3 linked regions of the Notamacropus eugenii genome follow. The protein of the gene in region 2 interacts with the protein of the main gene of each other region in a pairwise test. Links are inferred from orthologs where the notes say so. Each region holds a gene or a part of one and is shown on either strand. Other genes may lie near its edges.

Evidence for each region.
Region 1: the proteins of HNRNPUL1 (region 2) and PRMT2 interact in a two-hybrid assay, tested with the Homo sapiens proteins (2 studies listed by BioGRID and IntAct). The link is inferred for Notamacropus eugenii from reciprocal best matches to the Homo sapiens genes HNRNPUL1 and PRMT2.
Region 3: the proteins of HNRNPUL1 (region 2) and DZIP3 interact in binary tests that used the Homo sapiens proteins (3 or more experiments, as listed by UniProt). The link is inferred for Notamacropus eugenii from reciprocal best matches to the Homo sapiens genes HNRNPUL1 and DZIP3.

What each region holds. Positions count from the first base shown.
Region 1 is NC_092873.1:68,197,252-68,204,384, reverse strand, and holds the start of PRMT2 (protein arginine N-methyltransferase 2), read right to left. Parts: upstream 3,020-7,133; 5' UTR 2,909-3,019; intron 2,507-2,908; 5' UTR 2,494-2,506; coding exon 2,425-2,493; intron 631-2,424; coding exon 535-630; intron 1-534. UniProt on the Homo sapiens protein: Arginine methyltransferase that methylates the guanidino nitrogens of arginyl residues in proteins such as STAT3, FBL, histone H4. Acts as a coactivator (with NCOA2) of the androgen receptor (AR)-mediated transactivation.
Region 2 is NC_092876.1:29,911,897-29,919,044, reverse strand, and holds the start of HNRNPUL1 (heterogeneous nuclear ribonucleoprotein U-like protein 1), read left to right. Parts: upstream 1-4,046; 5' UTR 4,047-4,181; coding exon 4,182-4,551; intron 4,552-4,986; coding exon 4,987-5,112; intron 5,113-7,148.
Region 3 is NC_092876.1:360,263,190-360,270,201, forward strand, and holds the start of DZIP3 (E3 ubiquitin-protein ligase DZIP3), read right to left. Parts: upstream 3,075-7,012; 5' UTR 2,936-3,074; intron 1-2,935. UniProt on the Homo sapiens protein: E3 Ubiquitin ligase proteins mediate ubiquitination and subsequent proteasomal degradation of target proteins.

The sequences.
Region 1 (7,133 bases), on a different chromosome or scaffold from region 2:
CTGGCCCCTCAAGACTCTGAGTGTGTCCTCTGTCCCAGGCCTTGATTCCTCTAAGAGAGTTGGGCCTCCCTCCTGAGGCCTGTGGGGCCCTTCTGCCCCAACCCCCCCCACTGTGTTCTGCTTGCATTCTGTTCTGCTTGTCGGTCAGGTCAGTATTGGAAAGAAGTGCCAATGTCTGACCAGCTTAACCCAATAAAGAGAGGACTCCTCCAGAGGGGGAACCAGGGACAGACAAACAGGACACACATGTGTGTGTCTGTGTGTTGTTCTATATCAAATCACGATTAGCTTCTGCTCACAGCCTAGAATCTACAGACTGGGCCCCTAAACAGTCATTCTGGCTCAAGCTCAAAAGAAATTGAGGGTAACTCCTCCCTGTCTCTGCTCCAGGTCCCTCCTCTCTCCTGCACCCCCCACAGTCCTACCAGATGTCCCCCCCAGCCCTCACAGACCTGTCACAGGGCATCCCCACCACCTCCTCAGGAACACACAGAACACTGGGCTGATGTCACACCTGGCCTTGCCCATTCTTACCTGTGTTTCATTCGTTGCTGCGTAATCTGCGATAGCCACAAGCTCTTCGGGCTCTGAGTTCTCTGCGTCATTCTGTTCTTTGGTTTCTCTCACTTTCTGCACAAAATCAAGGAAATAAGATGGGGGCTGGGATAGAATGCCTGGGCAAATAGTTCATCCCCTTGTGTATCTCAATAAAGGCCACAGTCAACCGATGGTCACTGTTGCCCCATCTTGCCACGAGCATCCAGGTGGTGTTTAAGTGACAGGCGCCAGGCACTCAGGGACCCATCCTGCCTCAGCACAGCTCATGAACAAGTACTGGCAGCAGGTGGCACCATTTCCAGACATGCCTCTTCATTTGTCTTGTGGGGCAGACTGATTGCTTCCCCTGCAAAGCCTTCAGGCTGAGGGGGGCTCCTGCAGGGGCCTCAGATGACAGCAGGCTGGACTAAGGCACTAGGTTTGCTGAGAACAGGCTTCCATTGGCCTCAAGGAAGCCCAAGGCCTCTGTTTCACCTCCACTGGTGAATGGGTTGTCTGCTCCAGCATAACTTCGGTAGGATGCAATGGATGTGGACAGTCCACTTGCTGTAACCCTGTAAGCTGACCAAACGGTCTGATCCACTCTGAGCTAAGAGGCTGCCAGAGGGCCTATCTTCAGGGACTTGATCAACTTTAATCCATCTTCTTACCCAGGGACTGACTTCTGAAGGAGGCTCCCACTCCTACCATCCCTCACAATGTGACGTGGTCACCAATGTGGGTGGGCACAGATGCGTCCCAGCTCTCAGGTTTCCTCCCCCTCTGCGACCTTGCCTTCTCTCCTACCTCCTTCCTGTCCAGCCCAGTTCAAGGGCCTCTGGGAGGCAGCCTTGCCTTGCCTACTGCCTCAGTCTTCCAAATACCAACAGCCTGCCTGCCCAGCTAGCCATGAGATTGGGGGAGAGGCCTCTCAAGATGCACTGTCCTGGACTTGTTTCTTGGCTGAAGTTGATCTGACTACATCCTTATTCTCGTCCCAAATGAGCCGCCCCAGAAATGCAGGCCATGATGCCATCTAAATGCCAGCACAGTGTTGCAGCCAAATGCTGGACTGGGAGTCAGGAAACTCAAATCCTTCCTCCTGACACTGGTCACGTGGCCTTAGGAAAATGCTTAACCATTCTCAGTTTCCTCATCTGTGAAATGGGGATAATAATGGTGTGTCACTGAGTCCTTGTACGTAAGACTCTTTGTAAATTTCAAAGCACCACAGAATTGTTAGCTCTGAATCAGATGGGGTCCTACTATGTTTAGTTTTTGCAAATGGAATCCCTTATCCCAGGAGGCAAGGAAGCTTTCTCCCAGGAGGAAACAACTTGGAAAGCATTTTTGGTAAAGCAAAACAAACAAAAATTCCCCCTCCTCAACTGATCATTTTGGGGGCCTGGGGGTAAATCTGGGCTTTCCTGTAACCTTTAAGCTTCAAGGAGGGTACTCATGCACATCTTCCACAAGTGATATGTAAACACAAAGAGCTCCCACTGTGTAGGTCTGTCTGACTCTGTGCCTGCCTCTGCCTACAGACTTCTAAGACACTGGCAGTCTTCAGTGTGGCCTCCCCCAGCCCCTCTATGGCCAATGCCCACTTCCTCACGGAGTCTGCCTGCAAAGCCTTTCCAGCATAGCAGGCCCTGACAGAGCTGGTGCCCCATGGGCACCAGCTTGGGGCCTTTCCAGCCTATGTGGAGGGTCAAGCTCCCACATTACCTGCGCCTCCCCAGGGGCAGCGCCATGGGGCCAAGGGCCATCTTGCCTTTCCAGCCTATGTGGAGAGTCATCAATGCGACCACTGTGGGCTAAGTCTCAGAGCTCACCAGGGTGGCCTCCCTGCTCACCCTGCCCCAGACACCCAAGCTCCCACATTACCTGCACCTCCCCGTGGGCAGTGCCATGGGGAGGGGCCATGGGGTCGGGCTCTTGCTCCTCTGGCTTCATCTTCCCTTGGTTTCTATTGTCACAAGAGAGAACGCACCGATGGTTAACTATCCTTCTGTCCCAAGCCCGACCCCCAATGAATCCCCCCCTCCCACAACGCAGAGCGAGGAAAAAGCCCATCTGCACGAGCTCCTCCCCGAGGAGGGCACATCTGCTGCTGCGCCCACCAGTCACTGCTGGGGCATCCTTCTGGCACAGCTGCCAGGTACCCAGGGTCACCTGAATCAGGGCCTGGGGCGGGGCATCGGGGGAGGGACGGGGCCCGCCCTTGCACATTTGACAAATGAGAAAACTGAGGCAGCTCCAGCGGCCTCGCCCCAGCTTCTTCTGCCCTCTCTCCAGACCCACTCCCATCACAGGTGGGGAAACTGAGGTAGCTCAGGCGTGGCCCCGCGCAGTCCCCTCCCCATCTTACCGAGGAGTTTTTGAAAAGGAAGCAACTGCCTGACCGGCCTCGGCGGGTGCCGGCCTGAGCGTCAGGGGCAATTGCGCAAGCGCGACCGGGTCAGGGGCGGGGCCTCGGAGAGACTCCACCCACTCCCTCACCCCACCCTCCCTATTCCCCCAGCGCCTAGGAGTTACCCACATGACTCAAAGTCTTAGGGCGCGTGCGCATATCCTTCCATCGCTTCCGGGTCTCTGGGGTGGCTGGGAGTAGCTCCTCCTCCTGGGAGATCTGTGCGTGCGTGTGAGGGGCGGCTCTTCCTCTTGCCTCTTTCCGGGGAGGTGGAGGCTGCGTCTGTTTCCTCTCTAACTCGGGATGGGCGTGCCGGGCTACTTGCTGCAGGCAGCGGCCCGGGGGGAGGGGTGCCCTTAGCATGACAGGCAGGGAAACCGAGGCAGTCCAAAGCCCCCTTCTACCTCCCCGCCCAAGGTAGACCTTGGCAGGGCTGCCAGGCTCCGTGCCTCAGTTTCCTCAGGTGTAAAAGGAGACCCTGGGTGGGGACAGCCTGCGGGCCAAGGATCGAAGAGGGACCCCAAAGCTGCGGATCGGGCCTCTGTATGTACACACATTTATATACACACCCAGAGACAGACCCCCAAGGCAGCTCAGTGCCTGGCGCTCGGGCACCCAGAGGCCCGCCCCCTGTACCCTCAGTAAGTCCCCTGTAAAATCGGAGCGCTACTGTAGCAATCTCGGTAACATGTAAAGTATCTTCCAGCCTAGATCTGCGTGTGCGAACACTGCATTCATGCGGTTACACGAGCGCTACTGTAGCAATCTTGGTAACGTGTAAAGTACCTTCCTACCTAGATCTGCGTGTGTGGGTGTGCGAACACTGCATTCATGCGGTTATACGAGCGCTACTGTAGCAATCTTGGTAACATGTAAAGTACCTTCCAGCCTAGATCTGCGTGTGTGCGTGTGCGAACACTGCATTCATGCGGTTACACGAGCGCTACTGTAGCAGTCTTGGTAACATGTAAAGTACCTTCCAGCCTAGATCTGCGTGTGCGCGTGTGCGAACACTGCATTCATGTGGTTATACGAGCCGGGAAGAAACCAGACTCCTTCCGTAGCTAGGAGGTGAACCCGCAAGGTAATTTAATATACCACACCACATAATGCACATTTACATTTCTTCATCAAGAGCTTAGAATAGCGATATTGATTGCTTTTGCCCCCCAAAACACAAACTAAAATTTGCATTATGTAACGGTAATCACAAAAAAGTTTATTCTACCTACAGTTATGAAAACAATACAAAATTATAAAACTTAACTAAAATAGTTATGGATTTTTTTGTGGGACATTCTGTAAGAATGAAAAGAAATAATCTAAGATCTCATATGCTCACTATTATCTGTAAGACTTCATATTAAATTATTTTGTTTGGCAAATTTTGTCAAATAAAACATTTAAATGAAATAATTTATAAGTGGGAAGATGTTAGCATAATATCATAATCACGTATAAACTATTTTGATGTTGCATTTTTTTATTGGAGTAGATGTTTGCGACATTTTGCTTAATACCAGACAAATAGTCTTAAATCTGGTACTGCATCAAGTTTTTTTCTCTATTTTGATATAAAGTGAAAAAATGCTTGTTCACACAAATATGTGGTAGAAAATTCTAGAAGAATTACACAAGCTCTTTGAACATTGTAAATGCATTTTTTAAAATTTCTAACTGCTTAAGTAATGATAATGATAACATGATAAAAAATGAATGGCCAGTCATGATACTTTTCTATTGGTTAATGACAAGTTCTGTATTAAATGATTTACTAAGTCTGACTCTTCATGATCCCATTTGGGGTTTTCTTGGCAGAGATGCTAGAGCCACTTTCCATTTCCTTCTCCAGCTCATTTTACAGATGAAGAAACTGAGACAAACCAGGTGAAGTGACTTGCCTAAGGTCATTAGGCTAGTAAGTGTCTGAGGCTGGATTTGAACTCAGAGGAGAAGCCTTCCTGACTTCAGGCCTGGTGCTTGATCTGCTGTAGTTCCACCTAGTGGCTCCATACACATCCTTAAGGCATGATCTGAGTGCAAGTTCTTTCTTTGCTTCTCCAGCTTTTAAATACTCTTCACAAATTGACAGAGGTAGGGTTCTAGTCAGGATTCCTGTTCAGTGGTTCTCGGAATCATTGGCTTTGTCTTCATTTGTGGTGATAATCCAAGGAGTTTGCATTAGGGAGTCTTTCATAGTGCTTTAAGCAATGAGCTGCCCACTTAGGTTACAAGTAGGTCTTTCCTCTACTACCTGCCCATAGGTTTGTTTCTGAAGTGATTTAACACAGCCATAATCAGGCACATCATGAATTGGACATTCTAGCACTTTCTGCTGAAGCACAATGTTCTTGCAATTTTTCAAGTATCATCAAATTTTTTCCAAACTGCCACAAGGATTCCATATTCAAAGGCAAACTGCTCCTCAGTGAGAGGATACATGTGCATTCTGCACAGTGCCCCAGAGTAGCTTCCTCTGTTCCCTTCCAGTCATGTGGCCAAGATGGTACAAATAGCTGCTTGCTTTCAGCACAAAAGTGAGGCTGTGTGGATTCCATGGTCACTGGGCATGAGCATTATAAACTATCCTGAAACATCCCAAATGTTCTGCAGAAACAAACCTTCTGTTTCTTCTCATTGCAATATTAAGGCTGTTTTCAGATTTATACATGTCCTCCACCTTGCTTACTGTTTCTCTGTCTGGTGGATTTTCAAATGAGCTGATTGTTGACCCTGAGTCACCAAAAAGATCCTTTCTTTTCAAAGGTCAGATAAACATTGTTTAGAACTAGGTAATAGATGCAATTGAACCTTAAGGACAATTCTCATTTAATACCAGGTGGCACCATAGTGCGTAGAGAGCTGGACCTGGAGTCAGGCAGACTCATCTGCCGGAGTTCTAATCTGGTGACCCTGGGCAAGTCCCTTAACTCTGTTTGCCTCAGTTTCTTCATCTGTAAAATGAGTAGGAGAAGGATATGACAGACCCTTCCAGTATCTCTGCCAACCCTGTTTTGCTCTGAGCAACCTTAGTAGGATGCTGAGGAGGGACAGTATTGTGTTCTTTCAGTGACAGGCAGTTCCCTTAAGGCAAACAGCTGCCAACTTCAGCAGACCTGCGAATGGCAGCCTTCTCACATTAAATCATAGCTTACAAATGCAAAACCTCACCATCCTTCTGTTCCTCAACAATAGGTCCCTGCCCAAGCACCACTTAATGGTTCTTTTTGGGCCCTCCTGGCTCAGAGGGAATGTCAGTAGTAACTGTTTTTCTTTTGTCCAGCAACCCGGACAGTCTTCCCCTCCCAGTTCCCCATCCCTTCTTCTTAAAGGGATGATCCCTTGACTCACTTCTTAAAAAGGCCTGTTCATTGAATGGGTGTGGCCTCACTCAAAATGAGAACCTGAAAAGGCCTTAGCCTAAAAGGGTCAGGGTCTCCCACTGCATCCTGGGCCATCTCCCCTCATCCTGATGGATAAATATCAGGTTACTGGACCCAGATGCCTCTGGAGGAGATAGTGAGGCTGGTGACCTTGCACAGCCCTCCCTCCCTCAAATCAAAGTCAACTGTGAATCATATCATTATCACCCTGAAATCATGGTCCTCTCTCGGAACGAAGGAGAAACCCCACACACCCTCAGAACAGACACAGCCAATAGAGGACAACACAAGCCTGGCACCTTTGCCCTCTCTCAGCAGTAGATGGCAGCAGAGAGCAACAAGCCCAGACAGCTCCCTTAGGCAGCAGGATTTGGCTCCTGGCTTTCAGCCTCCCGGCCTTTCTCCAGCTAGTCAGCAAAGCCAAGTCTCTTTCCCAATAAGCAAGTTCCAGAAAAGCAGCTGAAAGTGGGCTGTCTCTGCCATAAATGTTCTGTAGCTTCTGTCCCTGGCTTCTTGTGATTCTCCTGCCCTCTCGTTTCTTTTATAGCTCCTTCTCCAGCATCTTGTGTCCTTCTGGCTCACACCAGACTTGTAGTCGTCAGTGACTCAGGCTTTACCTAAAGGAGTCAAATTCAAGACCACTTTCCTGTACTGTATGGACCTAGCAGTCCCCATGCAGTCTTCTCCTAGTCCCCAAAGAAGTGTTTAATTTAGTGTTTGTCATTACAGCCTTTAAAATTCAAAAGGCAGCCTCATCAAATAGAAGGTGGCACATGGTGCTCTGCGGGAACCACCATTTC
Region 2 (7,148 bases):
AACTAGCTCATTTGATTTGCCTTATCAAGTTGTTGACTTATATTGAGCTTGTGTGCCACTAAGACACCTCCCAGCTCCTTACCCCCAGGTCCTATATCACAGGAAGCTGCTATCCAGCCACATCTCTCTCATCCTGGTACTTGTGAAATTGATTTTTTGAACCCAAGTACAAAACTTTACATTTGTCCCTATAGAAATTCATCTTATTTGATTTGGCCCATGATTCTAGTTCCTTTACATCAATGTAAAATGTCCCATGTCCTGTGTCTAAGGCTATGCCCCTAAGCAGATGTTTGTAATATATTATGTGTGTGTCTTTACTAGTGAATCCAGCTGCTTGCTATGTGTTGCTGTCACTCATTGGTTTGGTGTACTGGGACTAAGCTGTGATTTTATCATGAGTCCAGTTGAATCCATATCATGTTCCTGAGTTTTGATTCTATGGGTACATGGCATTTCTGTTGCATGGCCACTTTGCCAACGTGGCATCTTCATTGATGAATCTTTTTGCGGACACAACTGTAGGTTCAAGTGCCCCCAATTTGTGTGATATGGGAGGGTCAGGATTAGGATTTAGAGAAACAGATTTGTGTGATGGAACTGCAGGATTCAAATCCTACTTCTGTCCCTTTTGACCTGTGTGACCTTGGACAAAAACATCACTTAAAGTCTCTGAGCCTTAGTTTCCTCATCTCTCAAACAAGGGGAATGGCTTTTCAAAGGTAGCTCTACAAACAACCCATTGCTATGTCCTTCCAGTGCTGATCTCAGACAGGACAGTTGTTTTATTGCTTCCCTCCGTGGGTCCACTCTGTACCATGGTTGTAGTGCCATATGTTGTACTGCGGTGCAGTGTGGTGTTGTGTGGCACAGTTATGGTGTTGCGTCATGGTTATGGTTCTAAAGGCCATAGTTGTATTATGTGAAATAGTTGTGCGTGGATGTGCTATGGTGGTAACATGTGCCAGGGTTGTGGCATCATGTGACAGTAAGATTGCTCTATCATACAGCACAGCTGTAGTTTTCTGAAGCATGATGGTAGACTTGCATGACATAGTTGTGGCTGAGTGTGGCTTTGTTGTGGTGCTGTGTGGCACAGTTGTTATGTATCATGACTGTGCAGTTGTATGGTGTTATATGAAATATTCATGGTGATGTATAAGACATCTCAGGACAGTGGATAGAGCGCTGGGCCTGCGGTCAGGAAGACTCATCTTCTGAGTTCAAATCTAGCCTTAGACTCTTTCTAGCTGTGTGACCCTAGGCAAGTCACTTCACCCTGTTTGCCTCAGTTTCCTGATCTGTAAAATATGCTGGAGAAGGAAATGGAAAACTCTCCAGAATCTTGGTCAAGAAAAACCCAAATGGAGTCACAGAGTCAGTCACAATTGAAACAAATGGGATATCTGCCCTCTTGAGTGTAGTGGTAACATCTATTAGGGTTGTGGTTTTAAGTGACGGTGAGATCATTGTGTTATGCAGAATGGTTGTAGTTTTATGAGACATGATTGTGTGACTTTGTTGTGGTGTTGGGTGGCACTGTTGACGTGTATCATGGTTGTGGTGTTACATGGTATTACATGGTGTTGTTGTGTTGTGTGTCACGCTACCGTGGTAAAGTTGAGGTATATGAGATGGTTGTTGTATTTTGTCACACTTCTGATTTTGGATGGCTAGGTTTTGAGGTATGGGACAAGGCTGTTTATATCACAAAGTTGCAGGGCTGTTATCTGTCATGTTATGCTATGGGGATGCTTGTGGTATTGAGCATTTTGGTGTTGTGTACCATCTGTGGTAGCGTGTGGCAAAGTTATTTGGGGGCAGAGTTGTGGTGCTATTGCATGACATGGCGTTGTGTGTCACAGTTGGGTTGTATGCCATGTTTGTGATGTTCCATGTTATGTTGTATATCACAGTTGTGTTAACATTATGTATCATGGTGGAATTATGTCACAGTTATGTTGTCATACATCATTGCTGTGTATTACATGGCATTATAGTTGTGTTGTGTGTTGTGGTTGTAATGCTGTTGTACATCATGACGTTATGCGTCACAGTGGTGATGGTATGTTACAGTGGTGTTGAGTGGTGTGGTTGCAATGCTGTTGCATTGGTGGTGCTGTAGATCACAGGTGTGATATTATTGTGTCATGGTGGTGGTGTTGTCACAGTTGTAATGAATACCGTGATGTTGTGCGTCATGGTTGTGATACTTTTATATGTCATTGTGGTGCTGTTGTGTGGTCATGGTGGTACTTTTGTCACAGTAATGACGTTGCTGTGTATCACGGTGGTGACTGTGTGTATCACGGTTACAATCATGGTGGTGGTATGTCAAGATTATGATGCTGATGCATTCACAATTATGCTGTATGTGATGGTTGTGATCTTGTGTGTCACAGGTGGGGTGTCACAGTTGCAATGCTGTTGTATGTCATGGTGGTGGTATTGTATGTCACAGTTGTGATGTTATTGTGTGTCATGATGTTGTTCTATGTCATGGTTGTGATGATGTTGCATTAACAATTGTGTGTCACAGTTGTCATGGTGTTAGGTTCACAGTTGTGTTATGTGTCACGGTTATGAGGCTACTCTATGTCAAAGCAGTGGTGTTTCATTTCATGGTTGCATGGTTGTGATGCTACTGTGTGTCACAGTGGCAGTGTTGTATGTTGTTGCATTAACAGTTGTGTGTCCTGGCTGTGATGGTGCTGGGTTCCCAGTTGGGTTGTCTTGTGTGTCCCGGTTGTGATGATGCTGCGTTCCCAGTTGTGTTGTGTTGTGTGTCCCAGCTGTGATGGTGCTGGGTTCCCAGTTGTGTTGTGTTGTGTTGTGTGTCACGGGGGCGTGGCCTACCGCACAGAAGCTCACTGAAGCTCCCAGGGCCTGGGCCACTTCCCGGGGGTCTCAGCACGGGGGCGCCCCCCGCCCACCCCTCCAGCCCACTGACGTCACTTCCTCCCGGAAGACTCTATGGTGGCAAGGTCGCGTCATCGCTACGTCAGGCTTCGCCACCATAGAGACGTCGTCGAGGGGAGTGGAGCTGGCTCGGAAACCGCAATCGGGCGCGGATCTCGGCCGCTGTGGGGAGGCGGGGAAAGGCGGCCGGCGGAGCGAACCACTGAGGGGGAGCTTCGTGTGCACCTGCCCCGCCGTCCCGGCCTTCGCCTCCCCGCCCAGGCCTCCCCGCGGCTCCTCGTCGGCACCCTCGCTCGTCCATGGACGCCAACGATTATTTCTCAGGTAAAGCCCGCAGTTTTCGCCACTGTCTGCGCCGCGGCCCAGGATTCCTCCCCCCGCCACCGGCCCGCGCCCGTCATCTGGGATTTAACCAATCCGATCCGCGCTCATTAGCATGCCCCGGCAGTCGAACGCCTCGAATAAATCGGTCGAGCCGATTGGTCCATAGATTAGTGAGGGAGGGTTGGGGTGTGGGGAATTTTTTGGTTTTAATTGTTGCCGACGGTGGTGGTCTTTTTTTTTTTCCCTCGGCTATGCTAGGAAGGTGCAGGCCTCTTAATCAATCAACCTCCTTCCGGGTCCTCAGTGGCTGAAAAGCGCTGTAGGGGGCGGGGCTCCAGGCTCCCCCTCGTCCATTGGCCGGAATGACTTCCCCGGCTTAGCCATTCCCTCCGAGGGGCGGGCGAGTCAGCCAATTGAGACGCGCGTCACTGAAGCCAAGTTGAAAGTTCGAGGGGCAGCTTTGTGGGCGGGGGAGCCGGTAGGCGTTTCGCGAGGCAGGCGCGGATTGGTCGGTAGTGCGACTCCCCGTTCTTATTGACTGCAGGCGGGCGGGCTTAGGCCTATCGGAGTTCGGCCTAACGCCCTTTCCCCTTCCACGCCCTAAGGGGAAAGGGGCCTGAAGGGGGGCGGTGTCGGAAATAGAGGGCGGTATCGAGCGATGTCTGAGGCTCCGATTGGCCGCCGTCTCTCCTCTGCGCGCCGGCTGCCCGGGTCGCGGGCCAATCAGGACGCGCGCCGCGGCGCGCGGGGCGGTGGGGGGGAGGTGGTGGCGGCCATTTTGAGCCGCTACCGCCGTCGCTAGTGCCGTCGTTGCCGCCACAGCCGTCGAAGGCCGTTCCTGGGGCCGAGACCGAGGTCGGGGCTGGGGTCGGGGCTGGGGCCGGGCCAGGCGGAGCGGAGAAGGAGCAGAGAGCGGAGCGGAGCCGAGGCGTCGGGCCATGGACGTGAAGCGGCTGAAGGTGAACGAGCTGCGGGAGGAGCTGCAGCGGCGCGGGCTCGACACGCGCGGCCTCAAGGCGGACCTGGCCGAGCGGCTGCAGGCGGCGCTGGACGAGGCAGCCGCCGCCGAGGCTGAGGCCGAGGCCGCCGCCGCGCCAGAGCCGGAGGCCGAGCCGGAACCGGAGCCAGAGGCCCAGCCCGAGCCGCCCGCGCCAGCCCCCGAGCCGCCGCCGGGACTCCCGTCGGGGCCGCCGCAGGACGGCCAGGAAACCCCCAGGGCCTCGCCTGAGCTCGCGCGCCCCGACGAATCCTGCGAGCCCCTGCCAGCTGCGGAAGAAAGGCCCGGCCCGGAGCCCGCGGGCCCGGAAGGCAAGGAGGGAGCGGGAGGGTGGGGGGCCCGGGCCCGGTGGCCGGAAGCCCGGCCCGGGGCTTCTCGGAGACGTGGGAGCTGTAGCCACGGGCCCGGGCGTTGGCGGCGCTGACCCCGCTCCCCGGCGTGTGTCTGGGGAAGGTGGCGCAGGTGGTGGGCGGTACGGAGTGGATCTGTTTAGGGGTGGGGACAGAAGGTCGGCCAGGCTGGAGAAGTCAGGGCTTCCTGCTTCCGCTGTGGTGACTAGTCCTGGAGCCCGGCCCGCGGCCGCGTGCGTGGAGCGGGGCTCGCCCAAGGTGTCGCGGAGATGCTTGTCTTAATCTTGGCCGTGGATAATTTGGGGGGCCGGGTCGGATGGCGGCAGAACCAGTTTATAGGTTCCGTGGCCTCTGGAACCTCTGCCCCTAACCCGCCCGCCCCCCTTCTGATCGTAGATGTCACTGGCAGCGCTGCGGAACAGAATCAGTTTTATGAGACCACAAATGTTCATCAGGAGAAGAAAACTGGTTATGAGAGTAAGCCTCCCGAGCTGGAGCTGGAGCAGCCGCTGACCTATCCAGGTGAGGGGCTGGGCAGTCTGAGGACCTGCGTGTGGCGTTTACCGGGGTTTGGTCGTTGGGTGGCTACTGCAGACTGCCAGCGGGGCAAGGTACCGCCGTATGGTTTGGCATCTGGGTGCCACGTTTTAGGAACGACTTTGACAGACTGAAGTGTCCAAAAGAGGGAGGTGACCATGCTGTTTGCAGACCAGTTCAAGGACTGTCTGGAGAAGAAATCTAGGGCAGCTTCAGCTTGCCATCTTTTAGTGTTTTAGAGACCTTCAAGTTAGACTTGTTCTGCTTAGACTGAACTAGTTGCTGTGGGTAGAAATTCACAGAGAGACAGGTTTCAGCTTGGTATCCAGTAAAATTTCTTCACATTCAAAGCAATCCCAAAACAGTGAACCGCCGTTTCCCACCACCAGAACACATCATCTCAGCGCCACTTCTCTAGGCAGCTCCGCAGGGCTGAGAAGGAGGGAATAGAACGGTTTCAGCACAATCTGACCAGTGGCCAGGCACCGAGTGAGGGGTGACTGTGAAGGATATTTTTAAAAACCTCCCTGGCTTCGGATCTGTTGTTTGAGAATCAACAGACTACAAGTGACTTACAGACACAAATCTTTCTATGTTCCCCTCTATACAAGTAGGAGGCACTTGGTAACAAGATCTCAGTTGGACAGAACCTGTCCCTCAAAGACAGGCAGTGTGCCATTTGGGCCCAAGTTGCCATGTCCAGTAGGGGTCAAAAAAGACTAAAATGACTTGTGCCCTGAAGTACTTAGATCAGGCCACGAGTATCTAAGAGGCATTGTTGTACTGGGCATTGGGGAAGGGCAAAACCGTCCCTACACACAAGGACTCTGGGTTCTAAGGAGGGAAACAACAAGGACCTAGAGCAACACATACGTTACAGATACAAAGAGAACAAACACAAATACATACCAGGTAGTTTGAGAGGGAGGAACCTCAAGATTCTGCAGATGAAGACCATGGTAATTGAACTGTGTCTTAAAGGAGGTCTTGAGGGGGCACTATTGAGAACAGAGCACCAGGCCTGGAGTCAGGAAGACCTGAGTTCAAATCTGGCCTCAGTCATTCACTAGCTATGTGACCCTGAGCAAGTCACTTAACTCAGTTTGCCTTAATCCATTGGAAAAGGAAATGGAAACCACACCAGAATCTTTGCCAAGAAAAGAGTCAGAAGCAAGTGAACTACACAGCAGTCTTAAAGGAAGGGCAGCACTGTGATTGGATTAGTGTGGGCATCCCAGAAGTCCTCTCTAAAGAACTTCGTCATGCTGGGTACCTTCTCTTGTGGAGTCTAATATGTTGATGAATCAGGGATTATTGGAGCTGACAGGTCCCTTAGAGATCATCAAGGCCAACTTCTTCCTCTTGCAGGAGAGAAAAGTCAAGCAGTTTGCTCCCAGCCCCAAAGGTAAGAAGGAACAGAGAAGGGCTAGCAGCCCCGCTATGAGGTCTCTCAGTGGTTCACTGATTATCTTGGGGATATCTGTGCAACAGTCCAGGGATCATATGCTTTCTCTTGCTTGAGGTGACTGATCAAGGCCTCCTTTCCCAGTCATGTGTGTCCTTGAAAGTATCTAGCGCCACTTAGCATACCCAGGTCCTCTGTGGTAGTAAACATACTATAGTCTGATCGTACTCTTGCTCTTTGGGCCCCCAGCAGTTTTGATCCTTCTAAGATGACTCTGTTGTGTAATCCCCAGCCCTGGGGTATCAGCAAGAGAATTGATGTTAAGTAGATGATGAACTTTGGTGACTGAGCAGTTTGGAATCCTTCAAAAAGCTCCACATGGCCTAAACGTTGAACCACCTTCCTGTCTTATCTTCAGTTCTGGACTGGGCTTATCGTCCATGTGCAGCACCTTTCTACTTTGTGATTTGTTTTGATCCAAGATGGGGCTGCTGAAAAAATCTTCTAGTCCAGAAGTATCAGATTCAAAGCCCACGACACTCCTGAGTGTGACCCAAACCACATTAAAATGGAATTGGGAAATATTTGACAAAATTAAATAAATATAAAAACAGGG
Region 3 (7,012 bases), about 330 Mb from region 2:
TGAGGAAACAGACCAGGGGATGAAGTATCTGTTTTGCCCAAGGTCATACAACATATCTGAATGACCTATATCATCAATTCAATGGACTAGGAACTCTGGGATCATTGAACATGAAATGATACTCATGTTAACTTTCAATGCTTCTGTTAAAAATTGTGTTTTGTTTCGTTTTGTTGCTTTTTAGGCAGCAGCATAAGTATAATGAAGAAAACACTCATTCCTAATTAAGAAGACCTGGGTTCAAATCCTATCTGTGTGACCTTAGGCAAGTTATTTGTAAAATGATATGGTCTCTGGGATCCCTAATCCAATGAACTTAATTTAAATCTTTTTTTAACAAGTTTTTTTTTTTTTTTAAAGAGTATGACACTATGAAGTTGAAGAGATGGTAGCCTATATGGAACCGAACAATAAGTCTGTGGTTCAAAATTTTTATTGCCAGCAGGATAGTAAGAAATGTGTAGTAAAGTAATTAAGATAAAAAAGAAAGCAGAGCATAAAGTATCTCTTTTCCTTGAATGGCATAAGTAGCATTAATTTTTTTATTATCTGCTAACGGCAATGAATGCAAAGAATTGATTGACAAGTCAACTGTTTGGAACTCTGAAAAGTGTTTTTCTCATGTAGACAATATTAAATATGATGGTCTCACTCTCAAGCCTGCTTCTACTCACCTACAAGATGAGTGCCTTCTAGCCCAAGATCCACTAAATTCCTTGCACTCAAGGCAAGTTACCTGTATATACACTAATTTCTGTCACAGTACCTCCCCTACCTGTCCTACCCAGGGAAAAGTGGCACAGTAGGGAAGGTCTTAGGGGTGAAGAAAAGTAGTTAGAAGGCATAAGTTGGTGGTGAAGTAAATAGAGCACTAGTGCCAGAAGACCTGAGTTGAAATCCAGATTCAAATACTTACTAACTATGGAACTTTTAGGCAAGTCACTTAAACCTGCTTAACTCAGTTTCCTCATCTGTAAAATGAGCTAGAGAAGGGAATGGCAAAGCAGTCCAGTATCTCTGCCAAGAAAACTCTCACTGGGCTCACAGACAGGAAAAAACAACTAAACACTTGTCCCAGGGTGCCTAGATGTCAAGAGGGCAGACTGGTTTATTATTTCCAGGTTCTACCATTGAGGCCAGACAGATTTTTTACTTCAGAAAGGTTCCATGTTCTCTTAAAGTTGTGAGATAGCATCTGTCTTCAAGTTATACCTGCAGAACTTCTTGTAAGTTTTGCCTGCAAGGTACTTAGGTACATGAATAATCAATTTATAAAGTTGTGTTCCAGAACAAAGGTTGATTTATTAATCAACTGTCTGGAACTCTGAAAACTTTTTTTTTTCATGTAAATAATATTAAACATGGTGGTCTTACTCTCAAGTCTAGGGGAGAGGGAGTTAGGACTATCTCATTTCCCAATGAGAACACCCCGTCACTCACTGCTGATCTGTAACTATTCTGCATCTTTGACTTGTCCCTGAAATAATGTACAAATGGTAACTGTGAGGCCTGAACTCAAGACATCTGCAGTCACCAAACAGTGTGCTGGCATTGTGGGAGGAACACATGAAAGAAAGAACTACACTGGCATGAAGTTCTGTATTGCTGTGGGGACCATTTTTCACAAATGAATGCATAAGCAAAGCATCCCTACTGGATGTAGGGATTCATTACTAATCTGTGCATACAGTAAAGTTTGCCTCCTGGAAAAGTCTGAATATTTGACTTTATACCTGTTCGGTATCACATACTGAAATCTGCAGGACTGGCGAATTCTCAGGCAGTGTAATGTCATCTGCCAATCTCTCTTTTCCTGCCCTACCCCCACCCCCAAGCACACTTTTCTGCAGGTGTCCTACCTATTTGAAACTGAAAGTCTTCAAAGAACTCCCATCTTCCTCTTCACCCCAGACTGAAATACTTCTTGCTTTCATCACTTACCCATTTAGAATTTCGTGTGTGCGTGTGTGCATGTGTGTGCGTGCGTGTGTGTGTGTGTGTGTGTGTGTGTGTGTAAAGCAAGTTTGCAGGGTTTTCCCCTGCCTTTATTTCTGGGTGTAGGCAGAAAGTCTATGTGAGGTTGGGGAGGAGGGATGAACTTGTTCTCTGTGTTTTAACTCATTCATGAAGTCAGGTAAGGCACGGACACAAGCCCTAAGGATTAATCATGATCATGTGATGAAAATGTTTTCCTTGAGACTTATTGCCATTCCCTTGGATTTCCCAAACGACATTAAGAACCAGAGTCCCTGCAGTGCTGTTAGACTCACTCATTAATCAATTGCTGACCAGGGACAAGTATTATGGCTTCAATATGCAAAAAAGCAGCTAGCTCATTTCCTAAAATTTTTTAAGTGTAGGTTAAAGCTTTCCCCTTTTAAAGCTCTCAGTCTGCTGCTATTCATGACAGGCCCCAGCAAGTTGTAAACAGAAGGAAGGAATATTGAGGAAATATTGGAGGGGGGGGAGGGTGTTTACAAGGCGAGAATCAGTGTCTTCAAAAAAAAAGGCAGTTTCCAAACTATAGTAGGAAATAGAGGTTACCCCTAATCGCCTCCTCCCCTCCCCCCATATACTCAAAGTATTGGACTGAATTTTAAAAGGGTAGGAAAATGAATGAACGTACTAAATAAAGTAGGCTGTGCAATGATTGAACGAGGGATTAAGATTAGTATGGGTGTATTTTTTTTAGGCTGCTTAAATAGATATCCAGTGAAAAGGGCTCTAGGGGAAACTCCATTCCTCCCCAAGCCCCCTTTTCTATCATTCACTACAGAATACAGATCTGTCACAGCTTCAGAAGCCCAGAATTAGGACCAGAAGTGTTTGGCAGCAGTAGCAGCCGCCGCATGGGGGTTGTGTTCCTAGTAACTGGCAGGAATTAATTAGACAAATATTTTAACAGGGTTCACTTAAAATCACAAAACGTGCTTACCGTCCTAGGATAGAATGAGAGAAGGTCTTTAAAATTCTTAGGTAGGGACAAGAGGTGGGTGAATCTGGGCTTCTCTGCTGTGGTCACACCGGCAGGGACAAAGTTTTCCAGCTAGTATGAAACTGAAACCAACTCATTTGGTCTTATTAACTGAGCCCTCCTTCCTGGAACTTGAGGGACCCGCCCCTTCCCAGCAACCTGTGCTCTCACATTCAGGCTTGTTACAAATGTGTCATCTGAGGGCAGCCTAAAGTCCCTTGGTAGTTTTTTGTAGCTGTTGTTTGTTTTTTAAAAACAGAATCTGCATACACCTTTACCTACCTGGCCACAGTAAACTGCACTGAGTTGATTTTATCTGTAACGCCTGGGGGCACCACCACCAAACCCTACTCTCAGAATGGATTCCACCAGACAAGGTTACACCAATTTCAAGATACTTGGTGATTTCAAAGCCACTCCAAATGGGAGTTCACAAAATGCTCTTCCTGATAGTCTCACCTTTACTAGTCAACAAGAAGACACATTTAATTCAAATCAAAGGTATTTTATGAAACAGTAAAGTAAGAAAAGCAATACATTTCCCTATAAATCTGGGATCTACTCTTCTTTAGATATAGACACTACTAATGTAAAGAGTGAACACAACAAAGGTACCACATGTGGAGAGTCACACATAGGGCCATGCCTGGTGCTCTGGAATGGAAGGGCAACTCACAACTTATACATTAATGAAAGGTCACTGTTAATAACAATAAAAATAATAACATTAATAGTAAGAATTTATATAATGCTGATTTCATCACTGTTCTGACAGGCCTACCTCTTACTGACCTTGCAGAGCATGAAGTCTCTGTAGATCACTGATAATCGCCCTGCATGTGTAGATTTCTGGCAATAATTTATGGAATGCCTCTCTGCTTTTAGATTTTGTCTTCAGCTGAAACTTATCTTTTATTCATACCTGCTCCCCATCCCATGGGTGTATGAGGTTTTCAAGGAGGATTAGCACCCCTGGTGTAAGGAATTTGTGGACCTTTTCAAGGGCAGCTCATCCACCTTTGGTGTCTACCTGGCACTCAGTTCTCACCTGTGGCTCCAAGAAGTTGTAGCATGTGTAGCCACACTCCAGTAAACCAGTAAACCATCTCAGCAGACAGGCTAAACCAGGTTGAGGGTAACTGACAGGCCTCAAATCTGTCAGTGAGTTAGGGGCTTGTCTATTCCAAGCATGTGAAGTCTTCCCCCACTGGAATGGATGGACAAGAACAATTTGTTCCAATAGCCTTGAAAGTAGCTGAAGCAGGTGCCTAAGGCTTTAAGCTGAGTATCAAAAGGCAGGGAGTTCAGACTAAAGAGGACACTGAAGTGCTGTCTCTTTGAATCTGCAGTTACGCAACTAGCTGATGGAGCCTAGGTGTAGCAGCAGTATACTAGAGGTCCAACCAGAGGCAAACCTATGATTTTGCTGCCCCGACTCAAACCATGATCAGGAACTTGTAAAGCTCAGACCAGATGGGTACTGACCAGACTTTACACTAGATGAGATAACTTAGAGCACACTGAAAATTTGTATGTCCCCCTGGGAGCCTTAAAGAATACATTCATTATCTAAGGATAGAAGTAGTAGGACCCCAGAGAACAACAAAAAAAAAATGGCCAAACACGGTTCCAGCATTCCCTCCAAAACTATGGAGAGACTGGTTTTAATACAAAGTTCCAATCTGGGAAGTAAGGTTAGAAGAATGAGTAAAGAAAAAAAAGACTCTCACTAAAAAAGATGCATCATGCCAGGAACAGCAAACTAAAGCAGGAAGAGGAAAATTACTCCAAAATGCCTACAGGCAAGGTCTCATAGAAAAACATAGTTTGGCCACAAAGGCAACTGGAATTGCTGGAAGAAATGAAACAAAGGTTGGGGTTTTTTGTTTTTGTTTTTTTTTAGAGTTTTAAAATGATCTTATAAAGTAAGTGTGTGAGAGGAAAGTATTGGAAAAGAAGTGAGAACTATGAAGGAAATACGGGAGTGGTGTTGTGTTTTAATGATCTTAAAAGAAAAATAAGTAAAGGAACAGAAAAAGTAATACACCAGGGAAGAGTTTGGTGTAGAAATACATTCAACACAACAGGGAAACAAGGAATGAGGAGGAGTGGGGTGAGGATAATGAGAGTGAGAGAGTAGTTGTTGGAAAGAATTATTTATAAGCAAAACAAACTCTAACCTCAAGAAGAGATATCAAGAAGAGTTTAAATGGAAAGAAAGAAGAGATATGATTGAGATCTGGTCAAGCAGACTGAGAAAAAGAGACAGGAGCACAAAAGCATAGAGTACTGGTCTATGCACAATCGTTCTCCCTCACTGCTCGCTTCTTTGTAAAAGGTGGCAGAAAGAAAAGAATGAAAAAATTATAAAATGATAGAATGGAAGGAAATATACAACTATCATAACTTTGAATGTGAATGTAATGAACTCATCCATAAAACAGAAGAGGATATCAAAATGAATTAGAAAGTAGAATCTAATAATATGTTGTTTTCAAGAGATACACTGGAATCATAAAGATTCATAAGGAGTTAATATAAGGGAATGGAACAAAATTTCATGCTTCATTTGAAGCAATCTCTGACAGGACAACATAAAAATTGATTTGACTAAAAATAAACAGGGAAACTATATATGCTTAAAGTTACCATAGACAATTCATTTCAATACTTAATATATATGTACTGAATAACATTTCATCTATATATTTAAATGAAAGGCTAAGTAAGTTACAGGGAGATATAAATAGTAAAAGACTGGAAGATCTCAACTTTCAGACCTATTTTTAAAAAAGAAAAAAGTTAAATCCCTTAATAAAATTTTAGGAAATTTAGATTTAATAGACTCTAATCTGCAGTAGCCTGAGCCAATCAAATTACTCCTAACGCTGAAACTCAATCACTGATGCTCAATGAGGTATAAGTGGATTACTCTCAATATCTATTAACTAAATGTCCTCAGTTATCTCAATAAGGTATCATTGCATATACCCAGGTCTTCCATAGGGAGATGCTAACAAAGTTCTTCACATCTATTCAATCCATGAAGACATGAAGTATAGAGAGACTTAATAACTCTTTAGGCATGTTCAAACCTATCCGAGAGCTGCAGTCTTTCAGCACATAATCAAAATCTCAAACAATGGTTTTATCCCGTTAACCTCAAGTTAATCATCGATGGTCCTTTGATCAATCCTCAAAATGGGGCAGCCAGAACAGAACACAATACAAATGATCCTCCCAAAGCAGAATACAGTGAGTCTATCAATTCTTAATTACTGTACTCTAATGCCACTTAAAAAATATAATTGCCTTTCTTGGTTGGCATATCACACTGTTGAGATATTACTGAGTCCAAAGTTTTCTAAAACCCCTAGATGTTTTTTGAAATGAAGAACTGTTCTCTCTCTATACCTCCCTCCATCTTGTAACACATCAAGATGACTTTTTGAACTAGTGTAAGATTTAATTATTTGTTCCTGTTAAATTCCATCTGATTCTATCTAGTCTAATCCTGAATTCATCTTTTACACTCTGGTTCCTAGTTACCATTCCCTTGACTTGTATTTGTAAGACTCCTTTCAATTAGCTTTGTAATCCTTTGAAGGCTATTATTCAAATTTCCTTTTTGCTCAACTATCTTTTAGATTGAATATGACTAGCTACTTGGCATGTATTTATAATATATTAAAAAGATAAACTCTGACTCGCTACAAATTTAAGTTGGAAATCTGCAACTTGGAACACTTCCAACAAAAAGTCAGTCAGGAATCATAAAGGAGTTTATTGCCTCAATAACCTCTAAAAGAAGAGATGAAGAAATGCCCCTGAAAAGTAAAATGGAGCTCCCAAAAAAGAGAGGAAAAAGCCAACTTTTCAGAAAAGGAAAAGGATCAGTCAAAGAAATGAGCAAACAGGAAAACTCTAACATGATATATGTTATGAATTGGAAAAAAAAGTGAAAACACCCTAAGAAAAAACAGACAGGGAATAAGCATAAAAAATGGACTCAGAAACAAAGTTGGTTGTATCACAAGA